Xenopus tropicalis: one gene and its partner. The protein of the gene in region 2 interacts with the protein of the main gene of each other region in a biochemical or structural test. Links are inferred from orthologs where the notes say so. Each region holds a gene or a part of one and is shown on either strand. Other genes may lie near its edges. The genes, in order: dtna and dmd.3.

The links.
Region 1: the proteins of dmd.3 (region 2) and dtna form a complex in vitro, tested with the Homo sapiens proteins (3 studies listed by BioGRID and IntAct, with this or other methods). The link is inferred for Xenopus tropicalis from reciprocal best matches to the Homo sapiens genes DMD and DTNA.

What each region holds. Positions count from the first base shown.
Region 1 is NC_030682.2:112,822,292-112,838,739, forward strand, and holds the end of dtna (dystrobrevin alpha), read left to right. Parts: intron 1-2,114; coding exon 2,115-2,211; intron 2,212-2,965; coding exon of another isoform or gene 2,966-2,986; intron 2,987-6,261; coding exon 6,262-6,421; intron 6,422-8,445; coding exon 8,446-8,535; intron 8,536-10,623; coding exon 10,624-10,792; intron 10,793-12,123; coding exon 12,124-12,250; intron 12,251-14,487; coding exon 14,488-14,505; 3' UTR 14,506-14,535; intron 14,536-15,304; coding exon of another isoform or gene 15,305-15,328; 3' UTR 15,329-15,548; downstream 15,549-16,448. UniProt on the Homo sapiens protein: May be involved in the formation and stability of synapses as well as being involved in the clustering of nicotinic acetylcholine receptors.
Region 2 is NC_030678.2:107,308,441-107,325,626, reverse strand, and holds the start of dmd.3 (dystrophin), read right to left. Parts: upstream 9,093-17,186; 5' UTR 8,967-9,092; coding exon 8,885-8,966; intron 1-8,884. UniProt on the Homo sapiens protein: Anchors the extracellular matrix to the cytoskeleton via F-actin. Ligand for dystroglycan.

The DNA of each region.
Region 1 (16,448 bases), on a different chromosome or scaffold from region 2:
GTTTTCTTTAGTATTACAAGAGCAAGCAGAAAATTAACTCTCTGGATGGAAGTGATTGGGGTTTACAGTCCAACATGTAACAGTACAGGGTGTGGAATATAAATGTGTTATGTGTTATATATTAGTATTATGTAACATTCCTAATTAAAACAAAACCATAACCCTAAAACAATTCAAGCCTTAGCAGGTAATTAATGGTGTACTAAAGCTTAACAAAGAAGTAGAGTTACCAGCCCAAGGCAACCATAGCCCTTTAGCAATGAAGATCTGTGTCTCCAAATATACCCCCCAGTACCACCCCATCCCCTTACTTATTAACTGCACATGCTCTGTGCTGTTAGCTTAGGCACAGACTCGCAATAAACCGTATATATTAAATATAAAAGTCACAATACAGGGCTGATTAGTAGTTAATTTATATTCACATTACATGGCAACTCGGAAACCAGTGCAATTAACCTCAGCATTTAATAATCAGCACTGTAGTATTAGCTTCTATGACAGATGGACCTCATTTTCTGCTTGATGATTTGCAGTGACCCCAAAGCTTAGGTTCTCTACAGCTGCCCAGAGCACACTGAGTATTATGTGAGCTTTACTGAAGCACTTAACAAAATCCAAGATGGTGAGCTCCTGTGACAACTTTGGAGGCCTTCATTATTACTGTTATAGAGATGCTGAACCTTTAAGCTGGTACAGTAAGTTCAATATATGAAGAAAAAATGGCATTCCTCTATGTGACTATAGCACAGCCATTAGGGTACACTGTAGGACACTTTATGAGATTTAAGTTATGAGATTTAAGTGACTTCTTTTCTTGCCCTGAATCATAGCCCTGCCCAAGCGACATCATGTCCCCGCCCACTGATGTCACATCCCCGCCACCCACCCGGATTTAAGTCCGCCAAAAGGTGGCAACCCTTCCCCCCTTAACTTTCCAGCATCGAGTGGGTCCAGAGGGGACTGCATTGCTAGTATATACACTCTTTGCACTAGTAGAGACAAATGTCTGGGTTTACAGGAATATAGTTACCAGGAATACCTTTTTTTCACCCCTGGTAACTTACAGGGCGCTGTAGGTGATATTGATCATTTGTCATGAATAGGTTTGTGTTTGTAAGTAATTGTTACTTGAAGTTTCTAAACCTGACTATTTTGCCAACCTGACTGTCCCTCCTCACTCTGTCAGTTACAGCTTCTAATGATAACAGTCTACTGCTGCACAAATATGGCAGCCCCCTCATAGAGGAACATGGGGGATCAGATTGGTAATGTAAAAGCATCAGGAAACATTATAAAGTTCTTGCAAAGACAATGTTATGATATATTTAAAAGGTTCATACCTTGCCTTATGGCAGTTGCCCCCCTGATTATCAGAATAATCATTTCTTTATATAGCTCCAGCAAGTTACACAATGCTTTACAAATGGGAGTCTTACAATAATTTAACAGACAAGAGCTACAGATTAAAAATAGGTTTGAAGGGCCTTGTTACTAAGATCTTACAATCTGAAGGACCTTTGGATAGTGAAATGTCATTGGTCTGTAATGGAAGCAAGGCTAATGCAGCAGAAACTTACTTAACAAAAAATAAAAGTCTACCTTACTGTTAATGGCAATCAACACAACTTGAATACTAGAAAAGACTAAATAAGCCACACTTTCTGGTCCAGTTTATTAACATAGGAGGTAAAATAAACCAGTGCAGTTACCAGAAGCAACCAATCAGCAATTTGTTTCAATCAGTGTGCTTATAAAAATGAAAGCATATGCAAATAAAAGCACTTATCTAATTGGAAGTTATGGATAATTAGTAAATCAACCCATCTTTTTATATTTAAGAAATTGCTCTCCAAAGCAGTCTTCATGGATGCCCCTTCGCTGGGTGCCTATGGCCCTCATCTTACCCATCCACACAGGCCTTTCTGACATAATTTCTCTGTAATCCAGCCTACAAACTTGTGGTACTATAATAATTGACCCACTGGAATGAAAATCATTTTAAACAAATAGCATCACCTCAAGGCCCAGCCATGCAAAATTATTGCCAGTGATAATAAACAAACAGATTATATCAAGCTTTCTTCCCTTAACTGTCTCTTGTTGCCCCTCAGACAGCGCAAAGATGAACTTGAGCAGAGGATGTCTGCCCTGCAGGAAAGCAGGAGGGAGCTGATGGTGCAGCTGGAAGGCCTCATGAAACTTCTAAAGGTAAGAAGCACAGAATAGCATCAGGGTGAATTGAATACCCTGGTGTAGACAGATAGCACAATATAAGACTATTTGGCCTATTGGACTGCAATAAAGCTGACCTGTATGTGGCATGCTTTAGATTACATGAAATGCTTGCAGATTACTGCTAAAGAAGCCATATCTGATTTATTCTTTAAGAATATCCCCCCCCCCCCCCACCCCCCGATGGGCATAAATACCAGAAGAGAGTGACATATCATATGATTATCATTGAGGAGGCTAAAAATAAAATGTTTTCTTTTGGAGATATATAAAATATATTAAAAGGTAGCAGTAAATCTCCCTAAACCTATGATTGTCAGTCTGTAGGTATGAAGAAGTAAAGGAGATGAAAAACCAAATATAACATTTTGCAGAATGAAATTCTAAGCAACTTTCCAATGGCCATTAATTATACATTTTCAGTGATTTTTAGTTATATGTAATTGTACTTGCTAATGAGTGCAGCATAGGTATCTGCTTTGCTATTTAACTGCATTCTTGGCTGGAGCAGAAATGTCTACTTCAACAATTTTTCAATAGTGCATGTAGTGAGAACCAGCAGTGCAGAGAAGAGACAGACAAATGTACTTAAAATCACTTAACGTTTGTAATGAATATTGGAAAGTTACTTGGAGTTAAAATTTGCTGTTGTTTATATTTGGTTTACAAATTTTGCATTTTTATACAATACTTTCATAGGGTTAATGTGTGCTGATAAATATTTTTGCAGGAGCAAGAGCTGCGACAGGAAGTAAGTGCTGATTTTATAGGGTTTCTGTAACTAACACTTGTAATGAAAACAGCATGACATGCATTGGTTGGCAATGTTAGCATGTGTTGGAATAAGAAAATAACCACAAATAAATCAGATTAGCCAGATGCACATTTTACAGTATCTACTGAGTTTTCATGGTGTGGCAACATTTTTTTAAGGCAACTGAGCAGCCTCCCCTACATAACTTTGGATGTAGTACAATGTCCCTAGCAGATCTATTAACTACTCTGTTAAAGGGACAGTTAAAAGACTTCCTCATCAAAAGCAAACACTATTTGCACGGTCATAACCAGCATTCAGCAGGCCCAGCAACAGTTGGGGGGGGGGGTAGACAAAGACCCAGTAGGGTTGCCGCCTTTTTATAATAATTGTACTGGCATGGGCTGCAATGGGCTGACAGGGTGATGCACCCAGTGCTACTGCACACAACATAGTTTTGGGGAAAAAAGCTTAAATAAAATATATCTAAAAAATACTGCACTGATTGTGCTCCTAGTTTAGTATTCTTATTGCATAATTAAACATTAAATATATTTTGGTGGTGTAAACTGCAGAACTAGAAGTTTTAATATAATCTGAAAATAACACATAGTAAAGGTGGTCATATACTGAAAAATCCACTCATTTGGCTAAGTTGGCCAATGAGCAGATCTTTTCCCAACCTTGAGGTGGCCAAACAATTGGATCACATTGCCGGGGTACAGGCCAATTCGCTCCTCGTTCCAACAAGATTTTTAAACCTGCCTGATGGACATCTGGAAGATTTTTGGCCAGATATTGGTCAGATAGGCCATCTGAGGGCCCCAAACACAGGCCGATAAAAGCTGTGGAAGCCGTGTATGAGGCTTAAAAAGAAGCGTATATTGTATTCATATTATTTTCAAAGCTTTAAGCATACTGCTTTAATGTTTGCTACTTTTAAGGGTGTCTGCTCCTAAGCAGTTAAAGTGGAAACCATGTACTACAGAGAAACGTTTCTCCTGTTTGATTAAAATTACTAGATTAGAAGATAAGAAGATATAATTCTAAACAATATGTGTCTATTTCACATATATGTATATACATATATTCCCAGTGCAACATGTTTATGCAATATACTATGTGAGGCAAGCACACGTACATATTTAGGGTTACACTAAAGTTCCATGAAGGAAGCTGATAGCATCTGCAGATTTTTAGAATACAGCTACTACTGTATTTGTTACTATTTGATCAGTTTATGCCATTACCCCTTGTCTAAATGGAAGTGGCTCTCTCCTCTGCTGTCTATGCGTCTTTCTAACTGTGTTATCAAATTGCACAGGATAGAATTTTTTATGCCTTATACTCTGATTAGGCCATGAAATATAACATACTTAAAGGAAATGCTGTTTGGCCTGAAACGTTGCAATTTTGAATGGTGCTGTTTCCTCTAATGCATCCATGAACTATAACTAACTACAAACAGCTGGATCAGAATCATTGTACACTGAAGCTAATTCTTTTTTTGTTGGCTCTTATAGCCTTAAACTTGTGTTTAAGGCTATAAGACTAGCCTTAAAGTTGTGTTTTTTTTTGTTTTTTAGAATTTTGGTAATCCCTCTATAGCATTCTCTGTTGCACTGTTTGAGATATTACCTTATGGGGCCGATTCACTAAAGGTCGATAACGCTTATTGCATGCTTTTTTGCATTAAAAAGCATGCGATAATTAAGTCCCAATTCATCAAAGTTATTTACCTCACATTGCGTTAATTAGCGAATAGAAAAAATACTAATGCATGATTCACAAACACATATGAGGCGTTGAACACGCTAAAAATCACATTACTCTGTGCAAATACTAACACCTACTTGGGGCAGGCGGTACTTAAAGAAAATTGCGGTTCGTGAGCTTTTGGCAACACAACATGGACTTTGCAGTGTGATTTATTCAAGTCTGTGTTGGCCCTAGAGTGATGCAGCCTCCAGTTTTCAGGGAAATGGTCATTTTCAGAACCGTAGTTTTCCGAAAGTAATGGTTACGTGTGAAATATATCGCACACAGGGGGAAATAACGCAAGAAAAACACTCATCGCGAGTTAAATAACACAAAGAACATCGCGTCTTAATTACATTGCGTGTCCTTTTACTGAATTGAGCGCTAAGTCGCAAAAAATAAGAAGCGATAAAATTAACACATGCTATAAATAGCGGTTGTTTTGTCAACCTTTAGTGAATCGGCCCCTATGTGTATTAGGTTGACCCAGTGTTCCCATTAAGCCATGTGCTTCTGCATGTACAAGCATATGCACAAATTTTGAGACCTATGTAGACAGAAAATCCAAGGGTGCACAGGGAATTTGTGTTTACTACTTATTCAGACAAAGTGTGTCACTGTGTAACTCTGCCCCATTTGTCTGCAATAGTGTGTGTAACATGCTCAGCTGTGTAGCACTGGGAAACCCATCCCTGTTTGCTTGCAGTAGTGTGTGCAATAAGTTCAACAGTCATCTCCTTTAGTTTCAATGCTGATACTGTTACATTTATTAATAGCTGTTGCATATACTTTTGAAATACTACATAATTCATTCCTTGATAAAAATGAAAACCAAAATCAGAGATTCTAATGTATTCAAAGTGTTGAAAGTGTTTCCCTCAGTACAAAAAGGGAGACATTAACAGATAAGTTACATCTTTTTGAAAACCTGTTTATCACTTCCAATGGAAAGTGCAACTCGTAACCTTTAGTATGTGACATTCTTACAGCTTACTAACCGGGATATATGTATCCTTTCATGTCAGTATTAATCTTACACAAATATTTCAAGCCACAGTGAAAATGTGTCATTTGGAGTTTTTAATCTCATGCTTGGTGCCCGAAGCACAAGAAGAGTTCAAGGAGCTGACACCAAGCTGTATGTCGCTAAATGTTGTCAGTGGGATCTGGCCCCTTGTAGTTTGATTCCGCCAGGATGTGCACAGTCTAGATAGACTGCCATGTCTCTTCTGTCCTAAAAAAAAAACTCCCTTATTAATATGAAATTGTGCATCTCATACCTGACAGTATTAAATCTGAGTATGTGGTACTGGCACTTTTAAATGAAAAAGCTGGAGGCAACTTGTATGATATGAAATGCAAACTTTTGAGGCATAATCCTTTGCTCTTGGGGGTTATATTGCTAAACACAATCATTTTAAAAGCATCCAGTTTACAAATCTGGGATTGACAGTATTTATGCAGTATCTGTTTTTCTAACATCTTTTCTAACGTCTCATTTTTTCTTTTTACAGACTCAGGGGGCTGGTTCCCCTCGCTCATCTCCTAGTCATACCATTAGCCGACCGATACCTATGCCTATTCGGTCAGCATCTGCCTGCTCCACCCCAACCCACACTCCTCAGGATTCTCTGACTGGTGTTGGGGGAGATGTGCAAGAAGCTTTTGCTCAGAGTATGTTGCTAACTAATTTAAGCTTGTATTAAATGATTGTCATACTGTTTTTAAGAAAGGGAGGAAAACACTAAAAAGGGCAAAACACATTTCAGCAAGCAGCATACCAGCGGTGTAACTACAGGGCACCAGGCCCCCTGCAAAAAAGTCTTCAGGGGAGCCCGCAATGCACTGTAACCCCTAACCCTGCCACTCTCCACTCTGTGCCCATCTGTTTCCGTTCCACCAATCTTCTCTTGCTAGCTCTTAGGTAGAAGAGCGACTGGAGAGGGGGAATTCTCTAGAGCTATAGAGGAAGCAGATTCCATGGTCTGGCCCCCCTTTCCCCTGGGGTTGAGTGTGTTTCCTCTATATTTACATCACTGCAACATACCTTTTATCAAATGTACATGCAAACTGAGATGCTTGTTTTCAAACGTGTGCTTCGCTAAGTGATTTCCAGTTGGTGGAAGCCAGGTAAAGTTATGTTAAATAGAACTTTACTGTGAGTGCTGTTTCCTGTGGTTGGGCGGGGAATCGTGTAAACCACACAGTCACAACTGACCAAACTCACTGACTGGGTGCAGGAGTACTGCTGCCACAAGGCAAGTTGTGATTCTTGCCTCAGGCGGCAGAGCCCATTTGTTTATCAGGGATTGAAAAAAGCTGCTCCTGGTAGCCATGTTTGCCCAAATTGAGAATTTTAAATTGGGATTTCGGCTCTACTAGTGAAGAGAGCACTATTGCATTCTTGCGTACTCTAGTCATGCAGCAGGGCGGGGGGCAAGAGGGACGACAATGGAAAGGGGCAGAGGGGCCCGGACTGGGTGCCACAGACAAACTTAAGGTACAGCTTTCTCCTGGTTATGTTGCCTCAGACACAGATTTGAACAAAGCCCATTTATAAAATACTCTCAAAATGATGCTGTTTCAATTGAAAAACTAATGTCAGTGTAGCTATTACTGTAGCAAATAGGAATTAAGTAGTTACGTTAACCTGTTGAATGGGAGCATATGTAAAGTAATTTTATGCCAAAAATCTGCATTAAAGAAAGCACATACAGTATTTATAGAGGTGCCCAGTAGTGTAACTATAGAAGAAGTTGGTCTGCTCTCTCTCTATAGCTTTAAGAAATCCCATCTCCTCAGCCGCTCTCTTACCTACCCAGCGTGAGTTGCTGGGAAATGGGGAACACAGTGGGGTGGGTGTTTAAAGGGAGGGCTGGGTAGGGGCGCACTGGGCACCTCCAAAGATGTTTTTGCGGGGGGCCTGACACAGTGTTATGCCACTGGAGGTACACAGAGGTTCCACTTTGGTGTAAATTCCATATGTAAAAGTTTTGGTGCATGTAGTTATAAATGTACATAAACTAGAATTAACTTTGCACAAAGCAATCAACAGTGTAAAAGCATAGCTTGTATTTCTGTGCCACTTATTGCTCCACTTTAAAATGATCCCTCTAAAATTCAGTCTGTTGGTGTTAAGGGAGAGAAGACCATTTGTCCTGATTTCCCAGGGTTCCTGGGGTCCAGACTGTAGATAAACGTACCAGGAACGCTTGTTGGTCGGCTGCCAGCCCAGTCCCCAATCCCCTGTGTAAATACCTTGAGTGATCCAGTCAAGATAAATTTTTCTCCTTGTGTGGCAAACTGGAGAGGTATCACATGATGCTTTTTCACTTAACTCTGGATCAGTTAGGCTGGTTTAATTTACACCAAAACGTGAAATGGATGCATGTCTTGAAACTGAAACTTGTATTTTTTAAAATCGTTTAAAAAAGTTGTTGTCATCAAGCTGCAACTCTAACAATCCATCAGGTTTGGGTGTTAGAAGGGGGTGCTTGGGAGATATAGTTTAACAGCATTCTTCTCCACTCGGATCATTTTCCCTAGTTTTACATTGCCCCTTTTCATCTAACTCTGACCCATAACGTAAGCTAATCTGATATAAGAGCAAAACATTGACAGTCTAAATATTACAGTTTTTTTTAACTATCTTTGCTTATATTAACTGATATTCACATATATTTTCTCTTCTTCTCCAGGTGCAAGGAGAAATTTACGTAATGATTTACTTGTAGCAGCTGATTCCATTACCAATACTATGTCTTCTCTGGTTAAAGAGCTGAAGTCAGGTGAGTGTCTAGCGCTAAACACAGTGAGGTCAGTATACACCCATATACAGCACTGCTCAACATGACCACAGTGAATAGAACTTGTGTTGAAAATGTGTTCTTTTGTTTTTTCCTGAACAACCTCTCCCCGCATTTCCGCCTCGCAATAGGTTAATTAAAAAGCGATATTAAGCTCTGCATAAACAAACCCATCCTTTACCCAAACTGATGCGAGGAGCAGCTCATTAACCAATTGGCTTATCTTTGGATTGGTAGCTGGTAGCCAGGAAGCTGGAAAGTGAAAGTTGGCTTCAAATTCAATCTTTGACATGTTTTGTGAAAGAAATATAAAAACCAAAGATATTTCTGTAATTAATATGAAATAGTGTGTTCAGCCGTCTTATTCATTGAGTTTATACTCAAAAAGATGATAGACTGACCCTTTAAGTGATGTTCTTCAAAGAAGGCTTCTATGAATAAGGTCACTTTGAAGGAGGCTTCAAAGAATTCACAGTAACAATAAAAAACAATAAAAAACACTGGCACTTCTGGCAAGTAACATGTCATGTAAACACAAGCTATTTCAGTTATTTACAGTTACAGTTATATCTAGATACTCTGAACTATCTGTCTGAACCACAGTTACCTGGTGATTAGCTCTGCAAAGTTTGGGGACCTTAGTATTAATATATAAAGAATGGCAGCAGTTTAAATTTAAACATATGAAGTCTATAGGTGAAATCTGATTGGCTGTTGGCCCCGCCCACTTTTCTAAACTTGGAACATAGTCACCCAGTGACAAACTGGGCAAAGTTTTGGGACCCTGACATTAAACACGTGAGAATGGCAGCAGTTAAAATTATCCCATTGAAAACAATGAAAGAAATGTGATTGGCTTTTGGCAGCCCCACCCACTTTTTCTAACATTGAGTATGTAGTCACCCAGTGACTGACTGTGCAAAGTTTGGGGATCCTGGCATCAAACCAGTAGACTTAAATAGGTGAAATCTGATTGGTTGTTGGTGGCTCCGCCCACTTTTCCATACTAAACCTTCGGTCCCCTAGTGACCAACTGTGAAAAGTTTGGGGACCCTGGTGTTAATTCTGTCAGAATGGCAGCAGGTTGAATATCCCCATTGAAAGTCAATAGGTAAAATCTGATTTGCTATTGGTGGCTCCGCCCGCTTTTTCTAACCTTGAACCACAGTTACCTGGTGCCTAACCCTGCAAAGTTTGGGGACCCTGGTGTTATTACTGTGAGAATGGCAGCACCCCTAAAACTGTAGGAGGAGTGGCGTTTAGAAAATGGGGGGCGCTAAGAATAAGAAGAAGAAAAAGAGGAAGAATCAGCTGAAGTTGGGGGTTTTCAGCCCAACATAATGATTCAGTTGGAATAAGCTTGCAGTTCTATTTTGTAATATAGCATGTGAAGGGAGCAGGTAGAGGCTTTTATAGACTGAATCATTTGATGAGCTTTCTGCTTCAGAGATATGGATACCCTTAACGTTTTAGTGATCAAAGTTGTGTCACTTGCAGACTCCCCAGGACACATACTGTAAATTAAACCAAATTCAAATTATTTTATGATTAGCAAAATAACTGAGAAGAGCATTCATGGTAAATATTGGCCTATTCAGGTAAAACAAATAGGTATATATTATAGCAGCCTTACTATAGCTACAATATGGGCTGTACATTAGCATGAACAAATTCTGACATTATTAAAGCCTTAACTTGCACTTCTGATTCATCCTGAATGAGGCTTGACATTTAGCATTTCCTTCTGCTTTACTGATTGCTGTTTGTACGTCACATACGGATAAATTAAGAACTTATCCTGCCAGGTGGGTGTTAACACAAGCTATTCAGCATCTAATGCTCTGTATGTGGGTGTTATTTTATCCAGAGAGCACTGAGTCGTTTATTAATACTAGTTATTTGCAAATACCTATGTTTACATTTGTCCAATAAGTCACAAGAAACTTTTGCACTTTATAAAGTGCAAAAGTCTCCTTTGGCATCACCTGTAAGTGTGGATCAGTGAATTTTCTGTATGTGGTTTGAGAGGGAAGGTAAACACCAGATAAACACCAGATATTTCTTTTGTAGATGTTGGAAATGAAACAGAGTGTGGTGTGGATACCGAATATGGCCGTGTTCATTTTGATGATTTGGTTCCTTCCCCAACCTCAGAGAAGGCATTCCTTGCCCAGATCCATGCACGAAAACCAGGGTTTAATCATCATTCTGCTGCTACTGGCAACATTCGCACTGACTTGTATGTATTTGTTTCAATGCATTACAACAATGACATGTTTCTTGCTAACAATACAGAGCCTTGGGCTTTCCTTTATGAAGACTGTAGAACATTCATAAGGGCAAAATTTGGAACTTTCCACAACCTAAAAAAAATGTTTTTATTAGAACTGCACTTGTGTCCTATGAGCTGCTGATGGTAAGAATACTGACCAGGAGTTCTCCACTAATTATCTACATCTAAAGACACCAGAGTTCCAACATCTCTAACCAAGAAAAATGCCTTGTTCCATGACAGGACCAAAATTCAATACTTGGTTTAATACTTGGACCTAAATGCAATACTTGGTTCAGTACATCTGGATTCCTATACACATGTATTCCATAAAAGGCAACGTTTGCCCAGTAGCAGTAATCCATGGCAACCAATAAGATGTTTGCTTTTAAATAGGTGACCAGAAAATTGTACTTGCTTATTGGTTACTATAGGTTACTGCCCCAGGGCAAACCTTTATTACAAAACCTCTTTTAGCTCTAAAAGTAGCCAAATGACAAGAGCAAATTCCCTTCTGTTTAAACTCAGTGAATACTGGGTGTCCTTTATATAAGCCCAGTTGTACTGCTTTATGTTCCAAAATCCCCATTTCAGAACAAGACTATTGTACCAACTGTGTGCCTATACACCATACATATGTAATTATGGAATCTATTATACCAATGTTTCTTAATCTTGGGGTTGTGACCAAAAATTGGTGTCTGTTCTGTCTATAGTGGGCCTTCGTTATACTTGTGATGAAGTATAATTTTTCCTACACTAAATAGTAATTAAAATGGTTGGATAATAAATTTTTATCTGATTCTTGGGAATACTTGGGATCTTCCTGACAATGGGTGTTTCCAGAATTCGGTATACTGTGTTGCCATGAATATGAATTTATTCTGGCTTATAAAGCATAAAGTACAAGGCACTTTTTCATTAGTACAGAGAAAAAGCAAATCACTTAAATAAAAGAATTGTTTTAGCACAGGTTAGATCAGTATTTAGCGGTCATTATCTTGCACTGAAGGTTGCACTCACAATATTTGTCTGTGATTCAGGAATATATGTCCTCTTAAAGTGAACATTATGTTGGACAGTGCAGCATTTCAAATCTGCTATGATCTTTTGCCAGTTTTGTTTTTGTTGTGTGAAGTCTAATGTATTATTTTAGCGCTTTGTGCCAGCAGTTCTTTTTAGTGTTTTTAGCAGCTGGAAACAATATACATTTTTACTTTAATCTCTGACAGTCAATAACATTTAATTTGAACAGTGCCGCTGTAATCATTTTATAAGATCATCTGTCTGCTTTTTAGGGGTACAGAGGGTTCCTACGGTCGGCATGATGATGAGACTTATGAGAATGACTCTGTGCGCCAGTTAGAACATGAGCTGAAGATGGAAGAGTATTTAAAGCAGAAGTTACAAGATGAAGCTTATCAGGTGATAATTCAAACACTTAGCACTTAGGAAGACATTTTTTTGAAAAGCAGAACAATGGCATATTTGAATAACATTCATTTTGAAGGAGCAAAATACATTGAGTTTCTAAGTTTGTATTTGTTCTGCCAAATCATATTTTTACTTATTCTTAATTCTATCTATAAAATCCTTATTTATTATAACTAACAGAAGCAAGAGTCTAAGTTAATACAGCTGGGATCATGCTGAACAATGTTAACAAATGAGTAGAATAATATGTATATTATTCTTAAAGCCCATACAAGCAGTGTCTGGACCTATTTGGCCCATCAGAACGTTAGATATTATTGGCCCGCTAGCCCAAATATTAGATGCAGAGAGAGATAAATGTAATATATTTTATTTGGCTTATGATAGAAATAGGAAAGGACTGATGTGTCCACTTGGAGAGCCTTTGGTACTTTGGCATGCCAGCCTGACCTTGCCAGCCCGACCTTGCAAAAAATTATCATTTTTAAGCTATGCAGCCATTTTGTATGAATTGTCCAAATGCATAGATGAACTGAATGAAGCTATGATGGTATTGTAGGGCACGCATATACACACATACATATCACTCCATGCATATCAACTGTTCATGTATAGTCATCATTTTCTAATATGATCTTTTTTTTAGCTCCATTAAATATCAAATGTATTTAATAGATTAAACTGGCACTTTATTACTGTGTTTTTCTTGTGCTGTAATCTTTCTTTTCTTTCATTTTTTTTAAATGTACGTCTTTTGAAATTTTAAAGAAAATTAAGGCAACTGTAAACATTAACAAATGCAATGACAATGTATATTTACAAGCGAATTAAATCCAAGTACAGACCTTAGGGTCTCTCCAAATTTAGCATCTAAACCCGCTGAACAATTTTGCCTTTAGTGGACATTGAAGCAGAGCAATTCCTGGGAACCTGGCTGCAGACTGTGGGGTGGGGCCCTGTTATTCTGTAATTGTTTTTAGGTCTCTTTATACTTTAATAGTAAATTACTAGAGTCAGTCCTGCAAAGGCAGCATCTGTTACCTTATTCATTTATGGGATCAGTAATCCGGAAAGCTGTTATTTAGAATTCTCTGACAATTAACACTGCCATCCCCTGCACATGATTCCTCAGATCAGCCATTCTTTATTCTTGCCTGGATTGCTTTTTCTGCATAAAAAAAGTGCTTTGTAATTTTTAAATTTTCAGAACAATAGCTCTTTACCTGTCACTAATCACACTGAGACCATATTTGCCATATTTACTATGTGTAAATACAGACTGAAGTGGCACTTTGGGATGGTGATAAGGACCGACCAAGTTGCTGCCAGCAAAAGGCAAAATACCATTGAAAATATTATATTAAAAAAAAAAGTTAAACTGCACTCCTCCATTGTAAGCGAGGGTAGCAGGGGTGGCTGGTCATTGTGGACTCCATGTGGTCCTGGTATACGTAAGACTTGGCTTTCTCAGGCCATAACAGTGTCACTGATCATGATAAGTTTGGTCCCTAAATCAGTTATTCTTATTGCAGTGGCGATCATCAAGCTTAACCATAGATTTGCTTATGTCCCTGATCCAGGGGAAGATATCAATGCAGTGCAAACTCCTATACAGACATAGTGCAGCTCCATGTGTTTCCCCTGCAGCCATTATATCATAGAACAAACTGATCTGCATAAAAATGGCAAGGAGAGAATTAGGAGCATGCACACACTGCTGCATACCTGTTTTGTGTAGCAGTGCTGTAATTTGTGTTGGTGCATGCAGCCACATAGCTTAGAGAAGACACTAGTTCTTTTGGTTCCTCCCAGGCCATAACATGTTTCAACTCCCTGTGGTTCCTTTCTGGCCCTAACATGCTGTTTTCTGTGATTGCTTTTGTGCTGCACACCCTTTGGTCCCTTTATGACTTTAACACACTGCTGCTCCTTGTGGTCTCCCTCTGGCCACAACATTCTCTCTTTGGTCCCACTCTGGTTACATTCTGTGGCAACTTCTTGTTTTCTTGGAGAAACCGTAAAGAAGCTTTGTCCCCTTGTATAATCAAAAACAAACTAGCAAAACATCTCTGTGCCTTTTCCCCCTTATTATTATTATTATAGATTAATATCCATTATACACTTCCCTGGTGTGCATGTTTCTTTTAATTTTGCCATCCAATTTTCCTTACCGATAAGATCTGCTACTAATAATTTAGTGATCATGTCTGGTATTCTCTTCCCTGTAGGTCAGTTTGCAGGGCTGAATGCTGTATCATCTTACCCTCCCCTCTCAAGTAAGTATTCTGATCTCAGGAACTAGACATGTGTGGAATGCTGCATCACTAAAAGAAAACCACTATAGTGTGCATTAGGTCCTTGAAATAAATAAATATAGAGACAAAATGATTCACATGCTCTCATTCATGGGGGACCGTGGCAAGGAGTTCAGGGAATTTGGCCTGAGCTGTCCTGGGAAAAAGCTATTCCTCAGTCTACTTGTAATTTGGAGCCCAACATATAGGTTATTACAGTTTTCATTTTGGATTGCTTTTGATTGCACTGAATTTCATTTATTCTTTCATTTTATTTGACAGTGACTTCATCTGTGCAGCAGAGGGCAATCACACTTCAGAAAACATTGTGGAATAATAGCAACTCTGGTTAACATAGAGCATTTTTATCTTATAACCCTAACCCCAGTTTTTTAGATGCAAGAAAAATTACCACACAATGTACAAATCTTCTTCCCAGCAGAGCAAGTAGAGGAATACTAGCACTAGTCTGTATTAGCATAGTACTTGTACTAGTTTTCAGCTGTTCAGATTTTAGATTTTTACTATGGTGGTGGATTAGTAGTATTAGTCCATGGTTTTATTTTCCGTCTTTATTATCATACATGTGTGTTTGTATGTATGTATAATAGGTATTCAGTTTTATTATTTAATTTGTCATCTCTAAAGTAAAATATGATTATAGGTTGCTTATGCACAATGTAACTGTGTATATTTCTTTATGGCACTGTGTGTTACCCCTAACTGTACACTATTTTTGTGTTACTTACAGATAAGCTTTAGTCCAGAGAAGTAGCGGTGAGGACTGCCAACTGAGTAATGAGCAAACGGCACAAATCCAGACTCCCTGAGAGGATCATGAGGGGAAATGTCTGCTGCATCTTCTGGCACCATGGAATGTAGCACAGTCCATTTTCTGCTAAACCTTGTAGTTTGTAGGTGTGTGTTTTGAAATAATGAGAAGCTTTTGTTTGAGTTTTAAACATAATTTGCATCACCAGTAACAAAAAAAAAAACTAGTATATGGTTTGCACTCTTTAATTAACATGTTGCATTAGACTTTTGTTGGTTTTCCACGTGAAAAATGTTTGTGCTGAACTCATTTGGTAGCCAAGTGGCTAACACACTTCCTGACTGATCAGACATGAGAAGGGGTTAAAAAATCACTGCTTTCCACTGGCCTTCAGGGAGCCATCTGACTGCACATGACCATAACAGACTTCAGATAAAGTCCTGGATAAGAAGCTGGTGGCTTCCTGGATTATCCTCAAGCAGTGACTTAATCAGCACCATGGAATGGTGAGCACTAAAAAGCCAATGATCTGAAGAGGAATTATTTCTCTTCGATAACTACTAGATATCTGAGTGCCTTAGTGCCACCCAAGCTCACTCTGCCACGTATCTAGTAGCGGTGGCCAAGTAAATAGTCCTACGCCTTTCTAACAATGAACTCTCCTACAGTCCACTACTGCAACTGTGCCCACCTGCTGACCCCTTGTGTGCCAGGGAAGTAACAGTGTTATGCCTTGCATACTCACTGGCACACAAGGGCTTCCACCTGCCATATGTAATGTAACCCTACAACCTGCATTGAACTATATGCACCAGAACATAATGCACCCAGCACGCATTAAACTCTGGTTACCACCCATCAGAGGACCTACAAATAACAGTAAATAGATGCAGATTCGCTCTCACACACAGCATTATTTTTTCCCAATCAATTATTCTTTGCAGGTTTTTGCACTTGAATTAGATTTGTGATCCTAGTCATTAATGGCTTAATAGGCTTATTAAAAAACAAAAAATGAAAAAACAAAGAAACACACTTAAAGCCATGCAGCACTTTATGGCTTTTTTTGAATCACTGGATATTAATAAGATATATTTCTTTATATATTAATATTTTTTTTAGT
Region 2 (17,186 bases):
TTGTAATTTTTGTTTTTTTCATTTTTTTGTGTGTAAACGTACAAATTTGAGGTATTCAAGTTTGTTTTATTCCAATAATGAGTTTTCTGTATTAATAAATAAGCAAACATTCCAACTTTTTTTAAAATGCAAGTTTATTTGAATTGGAAAAATGATCCAATTCACAAACTTGAAAAATCATAAATAAGCCCATAATATTACAGACAGTAAACCAGTGGGTGGTCTAGGTGGAGTATTGAGTTATATGAGTGGGCTGGCAGAGGAAAGTGGGTCAGGAAGTAATGTCAGAGCTACTCTTATGACCTACTGTACTCTAAGCACAGAAACTCCCCACCCTTGCTCCCTTGTTATGCGCATTGCATAGAGGTTGGTCTAGCAGTCAAATATTATACCAAGAGTGATGGAAACATAGAATATTTGTTACCTACATGGAGAGGATATACCATATAACTATGTTAATGTGTTTAGAAAAAGACACTGAACAGATACATATTAATTATGCTGGATAATACAGAAAATATGTGAAATCAGAATCATAAACGCACTTTCACCGAAACCTCCCTCTTGAATTGCTTAATTTACGGAGAAGAAGCAGCTGTTCATGCTTATCCTCTTCTTCCCTCCTCGTAACTGACTCTTTGTGGTGAAGTCACCAGACACCAAAAGAGCTCATACAGAAGTGTTGCTATTATTATAGTCAGTGGATTGGAAGACAGGATATAGTATCATTTGTGTGCCTTTCTGAAGGTGTCATTTTCCCAAGTAAGAAAATTAAGAATGCATATGGAATTGCAGGCAAATTTACACTGTGCTAAACCTGGCCGCCTTAGTATGGCTAGCTAGTGTCTTCCTGACACATTTAAGCAGACAGAAGCAGCAGACTCCCTTCGCTGCAGTTACTTAGAGCCCTATTACTGTCTAATGTACCAGACTGTATGTTAATTCTCAATGATTTGAATAGCAAGTGATTCGGAATTCAGAGCATAAATAGTCTTTTTCACTCTGCTGTTACTCAGTTAAACTTAATTTCATGTAAGTGAAGAGAGCTTGATAACACATTAAATCTGTGTTAGAATAAATCCAGCAGTAACGAGCAGTAACTAGTTAACCAAATAGGATCATTTATCAAATCTTCCTTACATCAGTATGGTAATGGGGTGGTTTTTTTACTGCACAGCTTTTCCCATACATTAAGTAATGTGCAACAGGCAAATATCATAAACATATACGTATGGAACATATATATGAAGGAAACAAAATACTGATTTTACTAAAATCATATGGAATTTTTATACTGCATTAAAGAGTCTGTTTACCGTTTACATTTAAAATAATGTGTCTTTTGGCCAATTACAGATGGTATCTGTATGTACCCATATTTATTCACATGAATAGGAAATACTGTCAGCATTGATAGGAATCAAAGTAAAGCTAACCAAATATGTCCAGATTTAATCAGGTAGTTTGGTCGATGTTAAAGGGGTTGTTCACCTTTGTACAACATTCACAAATCTAACAGTCCACATTAATAAACAATCTTGCAATACACATATAGGACTGTTGGCCAAGTGATCTCATTCTGTGGAAGGAATCATACACAAGTTTTTCTAACTATCTGAAGGTAGGTTTACACTCCACACATGAACACTCCAGGAGCCAAACTAAACTGACAAGGAGGGAACACTGGACTGGACTTAAAAACCTATGCTGGATGATAATTGGCCACAACACACACACAGACCCTTAACCCCAACCACACCATACAGCCTTAACAATTATATAGCAGAAGATTGTGATAGTCCTACCTAAGAGACTTGGGGAACTTTAACATATAAATGGTGCAATAATACAAAATGCATTTTATACAGAAGTGGTCCTCAACCTTTTTTGCACCATGGACCAGTTTCAAGCAAGGCAATTTTTCCAAGGACCGGGGTTGTGGGGTTGGCACAGCCAATGCATAGTATATAATTGAATTATTACATATATGATGTAAATGTAATTATTATTGCACTTTATTTTATTATTATTATTATATTATAAAATATAATACAGCTCATCATAATGCAAACTCAGTGGGGGACCTGAGCTTGTTTCCCTTCAACTAGATGCGCCCAGCACCCTTGCTTTTCTTACTCCCACCTAAGGGTTGACATCCTCTGATGCTTAGTATGGAACTTTAAGTACAGTACTTTGGCCCTTGTCGCAATCAGTAGAAAGCTTCCAGGGCTTCACATTGCTGTTGTCATGGCTGTGGAACACATTGGAGAATTGAGATATCAGGTATGTAGGACCAGAGGTGGCCCAGTTCAGCACAGCCCACGACCCAGCACTGGTTCCCGGCCCGGTGGTTGGGGACCCCTGTTATACAGTATAAGTACAGTGAAGTTCACCAAGATTTCTCAGTTTATTTTTGCTGATATCTGCTATTTGGCTTTCTGCATCTTTTAAAATATTTTGAATTAGATTGTCTACTTTTACAAACTGATCACACAAAATGTGCCCTTCTGTAATAAGAGCAACAATCTTTATAAATAGGGGATATATAGTATTCTACTTGTTGCCCCATAAATGTACAGTAAAATACAAGGGAAGTAACTTACCCTGTACATTAATATGTACAGGAATATTCCTCGTAAATATATGAATACATAAATTAACATTTCCACGTGTTCGCGCATGCGTGGGGGGGGCTTGGGGGGCACAGAATGGGGGTGGCCTCGGGGCGCCCCCATTAGAAATCCGGGGCTGAGCACAGAAAACTACTCCAGCTAGAGAAAAGGCAATGTATGACTGGAGGGGCACTCTTAAATGTGCCCTTTAACTGCTGCAATAGGGATTGTAACCTGTTTTCCATGTAGAATATTTTTTTATATCCATAATGATGTGCTTCCGTGTGTTGTTGAAACTCTGATCTATGCACCAGAAGTTAGTTTGAAACCTAATGTGTACCTTTTTTTTTGGACCAGGATCAATTAGTTTGATGATAGTTTGTTTGCAGCACTAAGGAGTATTGTTCATTTTCCCATTGTCCTCTAATGACTTCACAGATCCTGTGATTAACTTTGGGTGAATTAACATCAAAACAAAAGAATCTGATCCAGGCCAAATATTGATTTTGGACTGCAACATTGACTTTAAATTGTAACTTCACAAAACCCACTTTATTCACTCAGACACTTGTAGCTTTGATGAAATATCCCTGGAAGCCTCTTCAAAAACTACTGAGAGAATATGCTAATCTGTTCTGACAAAGAAAAGAGCCAAAAGCTGTCTAGTGAATTTAAACATATTACATTTATAAATATATATATATATATATATATATATATATATACAGGTATGGGACCTGTTATCCAGAATGCTCAGGACCTGGGGTTTTCCAGATAAGGGATCCTTCCATAATTTGGATCTCCATAACTTAAGTCTGCTAAAAATCATTTAAACATTAAATAACACTATAGGCTTGTTTTGCCACCAATAAGGGGTAATTATATCTTAGTTGGGATCAAGTACAAGGTACTGTTATATTATTACCGAGAAAAAGAAAATCATTTTTAAAAATTAAATATAATGTGGTTATAATGGAGTCTATAGGAGATGGCCTTTCCGTAATTGGGAACTTTATATATATATATATAGATGCAATTATGTAAAAATTCCGGCATATAGAATTAAATAATTGAAACTACACATGCAATTAAGGCCTCCTCTACATTCCATTACATGTCTTTATAAATTTATACTACTAGACTAGTCAAGAACCCTTCCTCTTTGCATTGATGTTTGCCCTGGTATACAGTCATTATGGGAAAAAGTAGGCATTCAATAAACCAAAAAATGATTAGCAATTAGTACATTACATTGGCATTTAACCAAGACACAGCTAATCACTCTGCATAGGATCATTCCAAATTATATACCTACATAGACAAATGCCAAACCAATTAGGAACACCCAAATGTGTAATGAATTTGAAGCGAAATGAATACCCCTGTGTACATTTACAGGGAACATATTATACAAAACATTTCCATATGGTCCCAACTCCCTATAGGGACCATTATGGAAATAATAATTCATTTGTCCTTCCCCTGGAACTCTTGTTTTTTTCAGTGGTAATCCCTGCATGTGGTAGCTACATCTATTATCATGAACAGTTAATACAACAAAACATACATATAATATAAGCCTTGATATGACAGTTCTACTGATTATGAAAATTATCATACCATTTAAGAAAAAACAGTTAAATATATTAAGAAGTTAAATGTGCAGTTGTTTTTGCACTCTTTCAACTGAGGCTTTTTGGCACACAGGGATGGTTGCCTGGGAAATGTTGCACTTTGTCTCTCGGTATGCTAAACTTTAATTGCACTCAAGCTTTCTCATGGGTAATTACCAAGACCATTAAGGGAAGCAATCCAAGACAATTCCTGATGTTTTGTATAATTATCCATAAAGCTGCAGCAACAAAACACCTGGGGAGTGGAGATTTTAGCACTCAATTACTAATATGGATGTTAAATTGATCCATTCCAATGCTGCCCAGAAATCTGCCATCGGTTGTACTGTACATTATATTCTTCCAAATGGAAGACCACATTGCATTCATTTCCCCATTTGACCACAGGTATACAGTCAGTTGTACAGTAGTTTGAACAGCAAAACAGAAATAAAGACATGAAGAGCAATCTTCATAAAGTTTATTCAATTGCTAGTTGGTTGCTATTGGTTTATTTTACAGGTGAAATAGAACACCTGTGTTTGTAAATAAGACTTTATGTGTGCCATAGGCCTAACAGTCTCATTTGGACTGTTAATACTAAATCATTATTTGATTTTCAGTTGCTGCAGATATAATAAATTACACCATAATATAGGCAATGGTTATAGCTTAAAATAACATTTTTTATTTTTCTATTTTCAAAAATTAGGTTATAAAGACCATTATAAATTATGTCATAGAACCCATCACTTAAACATAAAATACCACACGAAATTTAGAGCAGCTAATAAAAAACCCAAACAATCTTTTTGCAACACGTTTGTAGATCAATTTGAGGTCAGTAGGCCAGGACCACAAATCAGTATGTCACATAAATCATGGAAATTATAGTAAATCCATAAAAATGGATTAAATTGTTATTTACTAACTTCAAATTATAATGCTGTCTAAAGTATAGGAACAATAATTACATACAGTTTTGCACAATTCCTTTTTAATTGCTATTGCAACTCATTATTTCTATCTTTATAAGGTATAAGGAAAGCTCCAGAAATAGGGAGAAGAGAAGCACATAGTTTCAGTCTCAGTATTTTGATTGCTTTCTGGTACCTTAACAGTCACAGCATTGATATGTATAATGTTGTATCAGAATAAAGGATTTTTAGCCAAAAAATGACCATTGTAATGAAAGTCATAAACAGGAAAACAGAACTGTACAGACTATTACATGTGCAATCTATTTTCTATTGTTGGATCGGTCACTGAGATCTTTCATGGATTCATAAAAGCTGTACTAAATTTGCACAAGGGAAACATTGTTTGCACAATGGAAAATATTTCCATTGCACTCATTTTGCTGTGAATCCCTTTTATTATAGTCCCCCATAGGTGTCTTTATGGAAACATGAAAAAAGGAACCTACATTTAAATCTCCTAACAGTGTCTGAAGGTTTGTTTAGTAGTGCTATATACAGTTTATTTCTCTGTTTAATTCCCAAATATTATCAAGCATGTTATAGTACTATAGCTTTTTTTGCAAATGGACAATCCCACAACATATGGGATATTGTCCCAGTGGTGTTACATAGCAAATATGTCATAATACCATTTTGTTAACCTCACCAGGATCGGGTACTAGTGTAGCAAAACCTTAAATATAGTTTGAGTAAGGCATTAACCAACCACCTCAACAGTTGTGTATGTTTTTCTAGACCTGCTAATTATCCCAGCCATTCTGTACAAATTTCAGGAGTAAAATGGAGCCCTCTTATGCAGTATAAGTTCTTTAAATTGTGGCATACTGCCTATACATGTACATCAGCTTTGTGTGAGCATGAGAAGTACTTAGCAATAGCACCTAGCCGTTGAGGCAGTAGCACCATATTTTCTTCACACACCAGTTATGCACCTGTATTTTATTTTGCATGCAGAACAAACATAGAAGAGTGCATGCAACTGTGAACTCAGCTGCAGTGCAAATACCTGGTCACGGATAAAAATGAAATATGTCACTGCCAAGTCCTTATCACACACCAAACAAACTCACATTAACACTTTTTGTACAAGTACAATGCTACGCTATATACCAGATAAATCCCATGGAACAAGGGCATGACACATTTGGGTATTTCCTTTTCATGACCTTTTTACAATGCTGGACCTTTTCCTGCCAACAAATGCACCATAAGGATTTCAACTTTCTTTTTTAAGGTTAATATTACAATTACTGTCCTGGTCATATCCCAAATCCTGCCCAGGTGGGAGTCCAGATTGCTAACCCATCCGAGCAATGGTCTATAAGGTGAAATTACATTTCCATTTTAAATGTACATTTTAAAATTTACATTTAAATGCTAATATATCTAAAAATTTTAGCCACCTGAGATCTGGTAGGTTTCAGGATGCAAATAATTTTAAAATGAAATATTCCCTAGTTCACCTTCTAAAGTTACCCACTGGAAATGAGATGAGAAATGTGCTTCTTAGGCCACAAAGCTATGTTCAGACACTTCATTTTCTAATTGAATGTCACATGTTTTAGGGGTGCAGGTAACTTAGGTAGTCCTGCCAAAAAATCAAAAACAATCCATGTGTGGATTTACAAAAATCCAGTACTTGCACAGTGTTACATAGCCACACTGTATTTATAGTATGAAAGGATGCATAAATGACAGAAGTAAAACTTTTGACTGAAAATAAAAGATATTAAACCTACATAATGCAAACTACAATTCTAAAGTTAAATTGCAGTTTTGGCTTTTTAATAGTACATAACATAGTAACTGTGCAAGCTAGAAATGTGCAACGTATCACCATAAATCAAAATGTAAAACATTGCTTATATATTTCCTTCCATGAATGCCTACATTAGATCCTGAACTGGGCTGGGTGTGGTGAAGTCCTTCAAAAGCCTGGGTTACTAATGTAAACAGTACTCCACTCCAGCCTACTGAAGGATTTTGATTACCCAGGCACATCATGTACAGTAAGTGACTGACTCTCAATGCTTATGTTGGGCATCAGGGCTAGTTCCTACAATGCTTTGTGAATCTCTATCTTTGTGGGTCCGTTAATCACAGAGTGTGCAAGACATTGTAGGAATTGGTTTCACAGATGAAGGTGCTGACTACTGTAACATTGTTTCAATGATACATGTAGCAAGAATCGGACATGCAGAGAATAGCAAAAAAACAGCAAAATACAGCATTGAATAGTAAATATGCTTGACATAATTAAAAATGTGTCAGGATTGTGGAAAGTTTCTTAAAATTCAATTTGATTTAATTTGTGCAAAAAGTTATAGTTGCATTTACAACCCCTTTAAGTTTACTAGAACAGAAATCTAAGGCCAAATGTTTGCTATGTGCTATAGTTCAATCATGCACACGTAGCTGCATACTTTTCCTATTCCTCAGTTCCACTGCTAACATTAACCTTGTAGGTTTCCCTGTTCAAGATCTGATAAACAGGGTGTGGCTATGAAAGGCTGAATGCTGGCCAATATGTTTGCATTCCCCCAATTAATTGTCAGTACATCCTGTGTCTAAGCCAATTTTTGTTGTTGTTCATTCTGGATACAGTTTTCAATCTGAAATAGTTTTTATTTGAATTATATTTTTATACTCCTCCATATATATGTACAGCCTTTCAGTGAACATGTGCACTTTCCACCTATAAATCTCTGTTTTAAAATACCTCACACTCCCTGGGATTTATGTCAACTAAGTGTGAAAGCCACTGTTGAATAAACATCTGAACACATGTGAGTGTCAAATAGGCTGGTGAAGCGTGCTTATAATGTATTTAGTATATCTGTACCGTATATGTGATCCTACGAGATTTGGGACGTATTTCTAGCACTTACCATGCTATGCATTGCATGAACTTTATTCAAGTCACAAGTTCACAAGAGTAAAATGAGAGCGGTGTACTTGTAAGAGATTTACTCTTCCCCACAGCTGTTAATTTTTCTCCCCCTATTACAGTTCATCTGAATGCATTCACTATGTATGAGCAGTAAATTTAAGATAGCCATGAAAGTGCTATAGTACATTTTTCAGCCTTATATAGCATGCTTAGTGAACTTGTAAATAAACTAAACATTGAATGGTTTATAAATTACTATGCTGATCTACTTCCATAATGAAGCTGAGTGAGGCATGGCAGCTGAAACAGTATCTTATGGGAAAGCAATGCAGTCGCTTCCATTTACAGCTGTAATGACCTGCCCCATTACACAAATGGCATAAAGAGCTGTCAGAAAATTGGATACTACACAAAGGCATGGGAAGTCCCTTTTATAGTTATATATACAGCCAGCGTGTATTTTTTCTGCCGATAAAACACATTTTTTTATCAGCAGTTTATTTTTCTTATTATTACTTTTATTGTAAATATTTTTCAATCACAAATACTGTGATTTCTGGGCTGCACATAAAACCCAAAAGGCTTTAAAAGATCTTTAAATGATTACTGCAAATGTTGCTGCATTAGTAAGCGAAATGTCAGAATGACTTAAGTAGTATTGCACTACAGCAGACACTTGTAACTGGAAGCTTTGCTGCTAAATATCTTACACAGTTCATATCACAATAAAGCCAGATTTATTATTTTTAAGTTCCCACACTGAAGTAAAGAAACTAATATTGACATTACCGGATCTGTTCTTGATCATATCAGTGAACTCATCCGCAGCAGAATCTCCTCTGGGCTCCTCTTGATATCCACTTTCAGCCATAATGTACAGAAGCTCTCACTGACGGGCCTCAAAGCTGCAGAATAAACACCCAAAGTTTTTGGTAGTCTTACTTCTCTCTCAGCAAAGCAAGTTACTCTAGAGAGTTAGGTAACGTGTTATTCCCACTAAAGCAGACAGCCTTTTAAAACTGCAAATAGTGTCTGCATTGGAACAGGAGAATAAACTGTCAACCCCACAGATCAGAGAAAACAGGTGCTGATCTCTGTTCTTCCTTAAAATAGAACTAGCCCCGTATAAACTACAAGAACATGAATGTGGAGTAGTGAATATTAAACCTGACACACTATAAATCAGCATCAACTTGTTGATTCTTGAAACTGTTTCCGTAGCTTTGCACAATCAATACAAAGACCCATAAAATACCAAATTACCAAACTATACTCAGAGGGAAAACATAATTTAGTTATATCTCACTTAGTTGCTTGCAGCTGAAATATCATGAGTCTGTGTTCAATATATACTGTATTCCACAAGGGTGGAAAGGATGCCAAAAATGTCAATCTCTTTAGCCAATGCAGTTTGTTTTGCAGTTATGTCTAATAATGTGCAATCATTTTCTAGATGCAGAAAAGAAAAACAAAAAAACAGATCAAGTGCTGCTCAGTAATTAGTAAGGGTTGTTCCTTGCTTACATAAGTAGGGGCAGACCGTCACCTTCAAATGTTCAGTTGGAAACTTTTTTAAAGATCAAAAAGCTTAGATGTGTGTGCTGTTTTATTTTTAGCAGCCCATTGTACTGGAGACAGAAGAAAGGTTCAGTAGGGAAATTGCCTTCATTAATTGTATTGATGAAAAAAGTCCAAATACAGCGCAGCACTGGTCACTAGCAATAAGCAATTTTTTGCAGACGAATTTCCTCATTTTGCCTTTAGATAATACTTTGCAAAAGTACCGCAAATATTTGCAGCAAACATTTTTTTGCTGTGAAAAAGTCACCTTTTCTACACAGAAAAGTCACTGCGGAAAAACGCCACTAGACTCCAATGTTTTCTGCATGGAAAAAATAGCTGTGAAAAAGGTTGCAGCAAGAAATCCGTTTCATGAATTTTCTCATTAGTAGTGGTCTAGTTTTTTTTTTTAACTTGGTTTAGTCATAATTGAATATACTGTATCTGACAGACAATAGTCTCCCATGACACCCATTTTAGTGGCAGACAGCACCGTGGGTACAGTATGTTAAAGCTCTAGGCTTTTGCTAGATATGGTGAATATATACAAGGATAACAATGCAGAGTAACTCCTTTTTTCCAGCTTGTATAACTACTATTTACCTCTCCTTCTTCTCCTAAATATGCAGGAGATATAACATAATGCAGCACTCTGCAGAAGTTGTCATGTTCCAGAGACTGACGAAAAGGAATGAAAAGAATGAAAAAGAATTCACAGGAAGCTGATGTCATTATAAATCTAAAGGACTCAATGGAAAGCATTCTAGGCCTGATGCCATTTGATCCTGTGGAATGATACTATATAACCTTTGTAATTATGCTGATAAAAAGGTGATCTGGTAACAGTTTGGAGTAAATATTATATAGTCAGGGTTCCGTACAGAGAAAAAAACTTTAAACAAATAATTTCAAATATGTTTTTTAGAGTTAAGCATCTGCTTAGTACCTCTATGACTGTGCTACTTCCCTCAGCTTTTATTTGTATGTTCTTTTTTATTTATCTGTTTCACCTGTTTCTGCATACTTGCATGCTAATTTCTTTCCTGTCATTACTAATCTGGGCAATTAGTTGTTTACATTGCACATATAGCATATAATGTAATATACAGTGCTGGGAGGCAAGCAATAAAGCTACAAGAGGAGAAAGAGAGGAACAGCAATAATGGTTATTTTATTGTAGATTAAACCATGCATTATTCTATATTGCCCTTTGGGTAATAACCATATAATTTTAGTTTTTCCAAATAAGTTTAACTGCCATTGGTGTTTCAGTAGTGAGGAGCTGTTTGTATCTTAGGAATTGCACTACATTAGATTCTTTGCTTTCTTGCTCAGCATGGCTTTCTACTATAGGGCTTTCGCCTCAATTATCTCAACTTCTTTATTTATTTACCAAGGAAAATGTATTTCTTTTTAATTGAATAACTATTGTTCTAATGATGGTGCATTATTCTAGATGTTCAAATCAATTCCCTTCACAGCATTTTTATTTTCCTTCCTTCAGAAGTATGATAGACAAAGAAACATCTGTTATTTCACAGTCTCAATGGAGCCATTTGTGTCCAGCAAACAATTATTGTTTACACACATTATATGTTTACAGAAATACAGTACTAATGGCCTTTTAAACAGATTGTCAATGATTTGCCAGTTGAATATGATGTACCTATTTAAACTCCTTTTATAACTTTTTATACCAATCCTACCAAAAAAATCTGATCCAATTTAAATGAAGAAAGAAAAATTTTCCAAAAATGGAAGACATGGCATTAGGTGTTAATGCAATAAGCTTTCTATTAAAAATACTCAATTTGTCATGTGCAAAAACAGGCAAAAAATACCCCATTGTGGGTGCACAGCTAATAGGAAATATACCCCTGAACATTGCAGGTTGTGGTCAGCGGGTAATTTGATTGGCTGCGCCCCGTGTGTACACGTGACGTCAGTACGCACGGGGCGCGACCTTATAAAAGTGAGGATGCAGGTGTATAATGGGTGTTTAATGGGTGCCTGTATAGTGCCTGTACTGTATTAATAATAATAGTAATAAATGTGATTTAACAAATATAAAACTCATTTGTGTTCTGTGTAGTGTGTGCCATTTGTTAAAGAGACATTTTATTGCATAGGCTGCTTGGTAACTGATGGGAGGGGTCACTGGGGGAAGGGCCATTGGGGGGGCCCAGAAAATTTTGTTGTGAGGGGCCCCTTGATTTCTGACGGCGGCCCTGACTGCATTATTTCCTGTCAGGTGATCTCTGATGGAGCACACAGACCATCACTAAATGGTAAAAGGGAAAGGATAATATTTACAGAAATATATAAAAATTTTGTACAGTGTTTTAATTGGTCACTTTTTGTGATACAAATTGTCTCTTTGTTAAATATTTTTTTTTAAGTTAATTCTATTAACTGAATACACCACTTAAATTTGCTTTACAAAATACAATGCATCCATTATAATACACTTCTGGCAACAGGGAACCTTTTTTTTTATTTCTATTGTTTCTGTTGTTTTGGCAGGAGTTTCTATTGAAACTATTTGTTTTGACTCTCAGGCAGAGCCCAGCACTTTCTGATTCATTATGGGAACTTGCGATCCTTCAGTAGAAGTATGAAACCATTTGGATACATTTCTGCATAATAGTGGAATTATTGTACTTCTATTGCTAAACACTAATCTCTTTACAGCTTCTTAGGTGACAGCTGCAGTACTGTGAAGGAGAATCACAGCAGTTAAAAAACACATAATCAGCTGTTAGCACTTTCCATAGCAAAGTATGGGAGACACTCTTCTTATGTCAGACACAGGTAACCACCACTCCAAAGCACTCACTCATCTACCTTTGCTAGAGGAAGCATTAATATTTCAGATGTACAAATGCCATGGTTCTCTAGTGGATTGCAATGCACCCAACATCACCTGTGTGCCACAAGCCTTAATTACTGTATATTATTAGAACAATGCAAATATTTCAGAAGCTCTTAGTATAGTATATGGGATTCATTTTTATTTTTATTTCAAAATGAACCCTAGCCATAGCCCTAGCAGTGCCAGACACCAGGGATTAGATACTAATCCTACTGAACCACCTTAGGACTCATCCACTGAGCAATTGAGCATATAAAGTAGCCCAATGACCTGTAGGGAAACGTAGGGAAGCAGGGGCATGCAGTAGCAGTAGGACAGACATAGCCACTCCCAGTTTTTTATCTGATTGGTTGTTTCGTTTGGGGTATAAATAGCTGGAAAACGTTCCCGCTCCTCATCCATTTTAGGCAGCATAGGAAAACGCCCACCCTCCCTCCCTATAGAGATGGAGGCAACGAGTGGTGTTGGCGGGGTGATACAGTTGGGGGAAAACAATGGTTGGGTTAGGAAGGGAGTTTGTTAATTGTTTGGGGATGGCATGCCTGGAACCTCAGGGGTAAGTAAGTGGATTAGGAGGTGAGTTTTGTTGGGTAGGGGGTTCCGGGCTGGAAGGGCAGCTGGCAGCGCCAGTTGCGCTGCGCAGTTATTGGCTTGTTATGGTGTATGTTATGGTTTATGTTTATTCAAAGTTGGTTGTTTGTTATACAAACATTTGTATTGTGTTCATGAGTTGTTTTCTATCTTATTTGTTCTTATGATATGTTTTAAATTAAAACTCTAATTGTTATTAATAAATGTTCTGCGGCCATTTTATCCCAAGAATTGGTGTCCGTGTGTTTATTGGGGTTGGTAAGTAAAAACAGGCAAAGGGGTTAAGGTTGGGAGAAGGGCGGGTCAAGATCCAACGTTGCTCACGTCAGGATCAGAGCAAAGCCAAATATATTAGCACCAAAGACAATATTACTTGGCCTGTCCCCCCCCCACCCCCCAAGGCTCACTCCCCCAAGGCCCAAGCCCCTTCTCCTGCTGCTGCCACTGCTCACACCACTTTACCCCAACAACCTACCATGCTGGTATCACTTGAACTCTTTTTACATCTCCTGGTCATTTTTTTGACCTGGCAGCTGCACCCTAGGCATATTTCTCTACTGGCTGCCCCTAGTTCTGGTCCTGCATAGTATTTACTGTGAGATTAAAAATCCAAGACAAAGTGCTGATTCCATTGCTTTCAGAATCAATGGAATCAAGGGCAATTCTCTGCCCCTGGCTGCCTGAGGTGGAGTTTCTGGTGCTGCCCCCTCAAGCCTAGCATTAAGAACTTCAGTTTGATGGGGGGCTGCAGCACTAGTGCAGAGAGCGCAGTTTTGCTCTCTGCACTTGAATAGCTGAAATTCCAATTTAAAAACTAGAATTTGGGCTATTAAAGTTACCAGGAGCATTTTTTGCCACCCCTGGTGACAAAAAGCTGCTGCCTGAGGTGAGTTTCTCAACTGGTGTCATGGCAGAAGCACCCCTGAAGGGAATCCTGTACTAAAGGACACCTAATTGCTGCTCATTGCACACATAAAAATTCTGGTGGAGCTTCATTAATGATAAAGGCATAGACTTTTGTAGCACAAAGAACTATCTGAAGGTGCAACCATCTGGGAAAGGTATAAAGTAGTGTTAAACATTTGCAAAACTTTGCGAAATCCATTGGAGTCAACTTTGTTTTTACATGCAACAATTTTTTCTTATGCCCGAGACTTTTTTGTCTCACTCCTGCAGCGTGACTTTTTAGGTAACATGTGCATGGCTTTTTTAATGCATGCAGATTTTTTTCTCACTCCAAATACATTAAGATTACGTCAATAGCCATTTGTTTTTCTGTAAATTTTTTGTTGTGGTAAATTTTTGATGCAGTTTCACAAATGGTGAAATGAGGAATTTCACCCTGAATCCTGGTGAAAACATTTGCTCATCACTAGTGTAAAGTGCATTTAGTCTGCTTTCCACTATTGTTTCTTGTATTTTGCAACTTGCCCTGTCGTAGTCTGCAACTAGGCCTATTTCCCCTATATTTTTGTAGGATTTAACATTGCACTGTGTATAATGTTGAAAGTAAGTTAATTTTTGTTGCCCTTTCTACCAGCCATTTTACACAGTAAGCTGTATTGTTATTTATGTATATTATCTTTGTTTATTAAAGGATAGCAATATACAGGCACTTTATCTTGGATGACTCCAAATGCTGTATCACATCCATTTTAAAATAACTTGGTGCCAGTCTGCACAGGATATTAAAAGACAGAAGTAGGACAACTGTGGCACCGGAGTTTAGTTACTGCTAATAAATATTGACAGACATCTAGTTACTACAATAAATCTCAAAATATTTGGTTGGCATGGGCTGAATTAATCCAATATACAGGATGCACTAACATCACCATTAAAGTTTATACAACCATTCTAACATACATTACTCACATTAATATTACTACTTGTAAAGTTGCTGTGATTGGTGCCATCTGGTGATATTCTCTTTGACACCAAGGGAACTCTGGCATGATCACACTCTTACCACATTTTGATATTCACCATGACATAACAACAGGACAGGGCACTAAATTTAAAATAAAGTCATCTTGACCTGGGTTGCCGAAACTGTTGGCCTAATGCCAAATTTCTAGGTTCTTGGGTGCACTCAAAATTATCTGATATTCCATTACATTCTATGGGGCACATTTACGTATCCACGAACACTCCGAGTGTTTGTTCGACTTTTTCGTACCTTGCTCAACTTTTTCGGCGCTTTCGCAACTTTTTTCGTTTTTTTAGCGTGAAAAAATCGGATCGGTTTTGCCGCTGTTTACAATCATTCCGTACGAAAATTTCGGGACTTTCGGAAAGCCAATGCAATATTATCGTGACTGATACGATTTTTTCATAAGCATTTTCGTGATATTTGAGATCTTCAGAAATTTTCATTTCCAATCCGAATTTTTCCCATTCGGGATTCAAAATCATGTTTTGATAAATCTGCCCCTATGTCTTGCTACACAGCCCCTTTACACACAACACCATCAAAAGACTCCAGGTTAGTATTTTACTGGGAAATCCCAGAGAAAGCTTTACATACTGCACAGATATTAGCCAATCAGCTGCATACATTAGAAGATCACCTAACCGCCTCTATAGCTAAAACTGTACTTGCAACAGTGGCTGCAGCAATAAAGAAAATACAAGCAATTTGGGCAGAACTGGGTGACCACACAGATAATTTAGCACAACGTCAGATAAATGCATAAGAAGAATCAGTGGTGTAACTAGTGTGTACCAGTCTCCCCCCCCCCCCCCACAAAATAATCTTTGGAGGGGCCTGGTGCACAGCAATACATACACGAAACCACCCACTCCCTGCCCCCACTGTCTTTCGCCCCCACCTGCATCTTCTGACTAAATGAGTCTTCTCTACCCAGCAGTTCTACTACTTGGAAGCGGGGAAGGAAGACTTTACAACTATAGAGGAAGCAGATCCTGTGTTCTGGGACCCCCTGTTGCCAAGTCTGTTTCCTCTAAAGTTACACCACTAAAAAGAACTAACCTATTTTAGAGATAAAGTTTAGCAATTAAAAAACAACTGAAAAGAGGAGAACCAGAGGATGTAGGCAATCAAGAGTTACAAAAAAACAGCAATATTCCTCTATCTGCCCTGACATCTCAGAGAATGCGTGATATACGTGGATGCATGGATAGGGCAAATTGCTCCCTGGGTTCAGGACGCTTTTTTATGGGCCTCTCTCAGGATGTAGTGGTATATTTCTACTACTTTTATAGCAAGGAGGCACTGTTAGACATGTTCAATGACCACAACTATTGATAAGTTAATTTTTACGGCAGACATGGATTCTCTGCAAAATTCCACATTTCACCATCAGTGAATTTGTTTGCAAAACTACAGTATAAAAAAAAGTTTTTGTGGTAGAAGTAAGAAAAAATGCCCATTGACTTTAATGTATTTGGAGAAAAAAGTTTGCATGGTAGGAGTAAGAAGAAATGCCCATTGAGAAAAACATCCATTGAATTTAATGCATTTGAGTGAGAAAAATGCCCATTGACATCATCTATTATGTATTTGGAGTGAGTAAAAAAGTTGCACGCAAATTTTTCAATGTTTTGCAAATTTTTCAGCATTTTCGCAATTTCGAAACCAGACAGATTCTCTCAACACTAACCACAACTAAATTTCAGTCACAAAATTCAGCTATTTGCTGACCTCTCACCTATAACATTGGCAAAGAGTAAAGAAAGCAACAGCACAGGCATTAATGGATAATAAAATACCATATTTGATAATGTTCATAAACTATAAACCATGGCAAAGCTTGATTGACTCTTGTAGCACCAATAGACCAAGGAGGTTTGGGGATTCCACACATTTTCTAGAAATATTATGAAGCCACACACCTATTGCATAGGTCATAATGGGTCCCAAGCACAACTTGGAGACTTATTGAAAATCTCTTAAACAACATATTTCATATCAATATGCTTCTATGGTTTGCAAACAAAAAACCTTGTCTTTTAAATTCTCTTCTAAATGCAGCATTTAACCTCCTTTATTGATGGAAACACCCCATGGTGTCATTTGAAATAAACTATAAAATATATAAATATTTT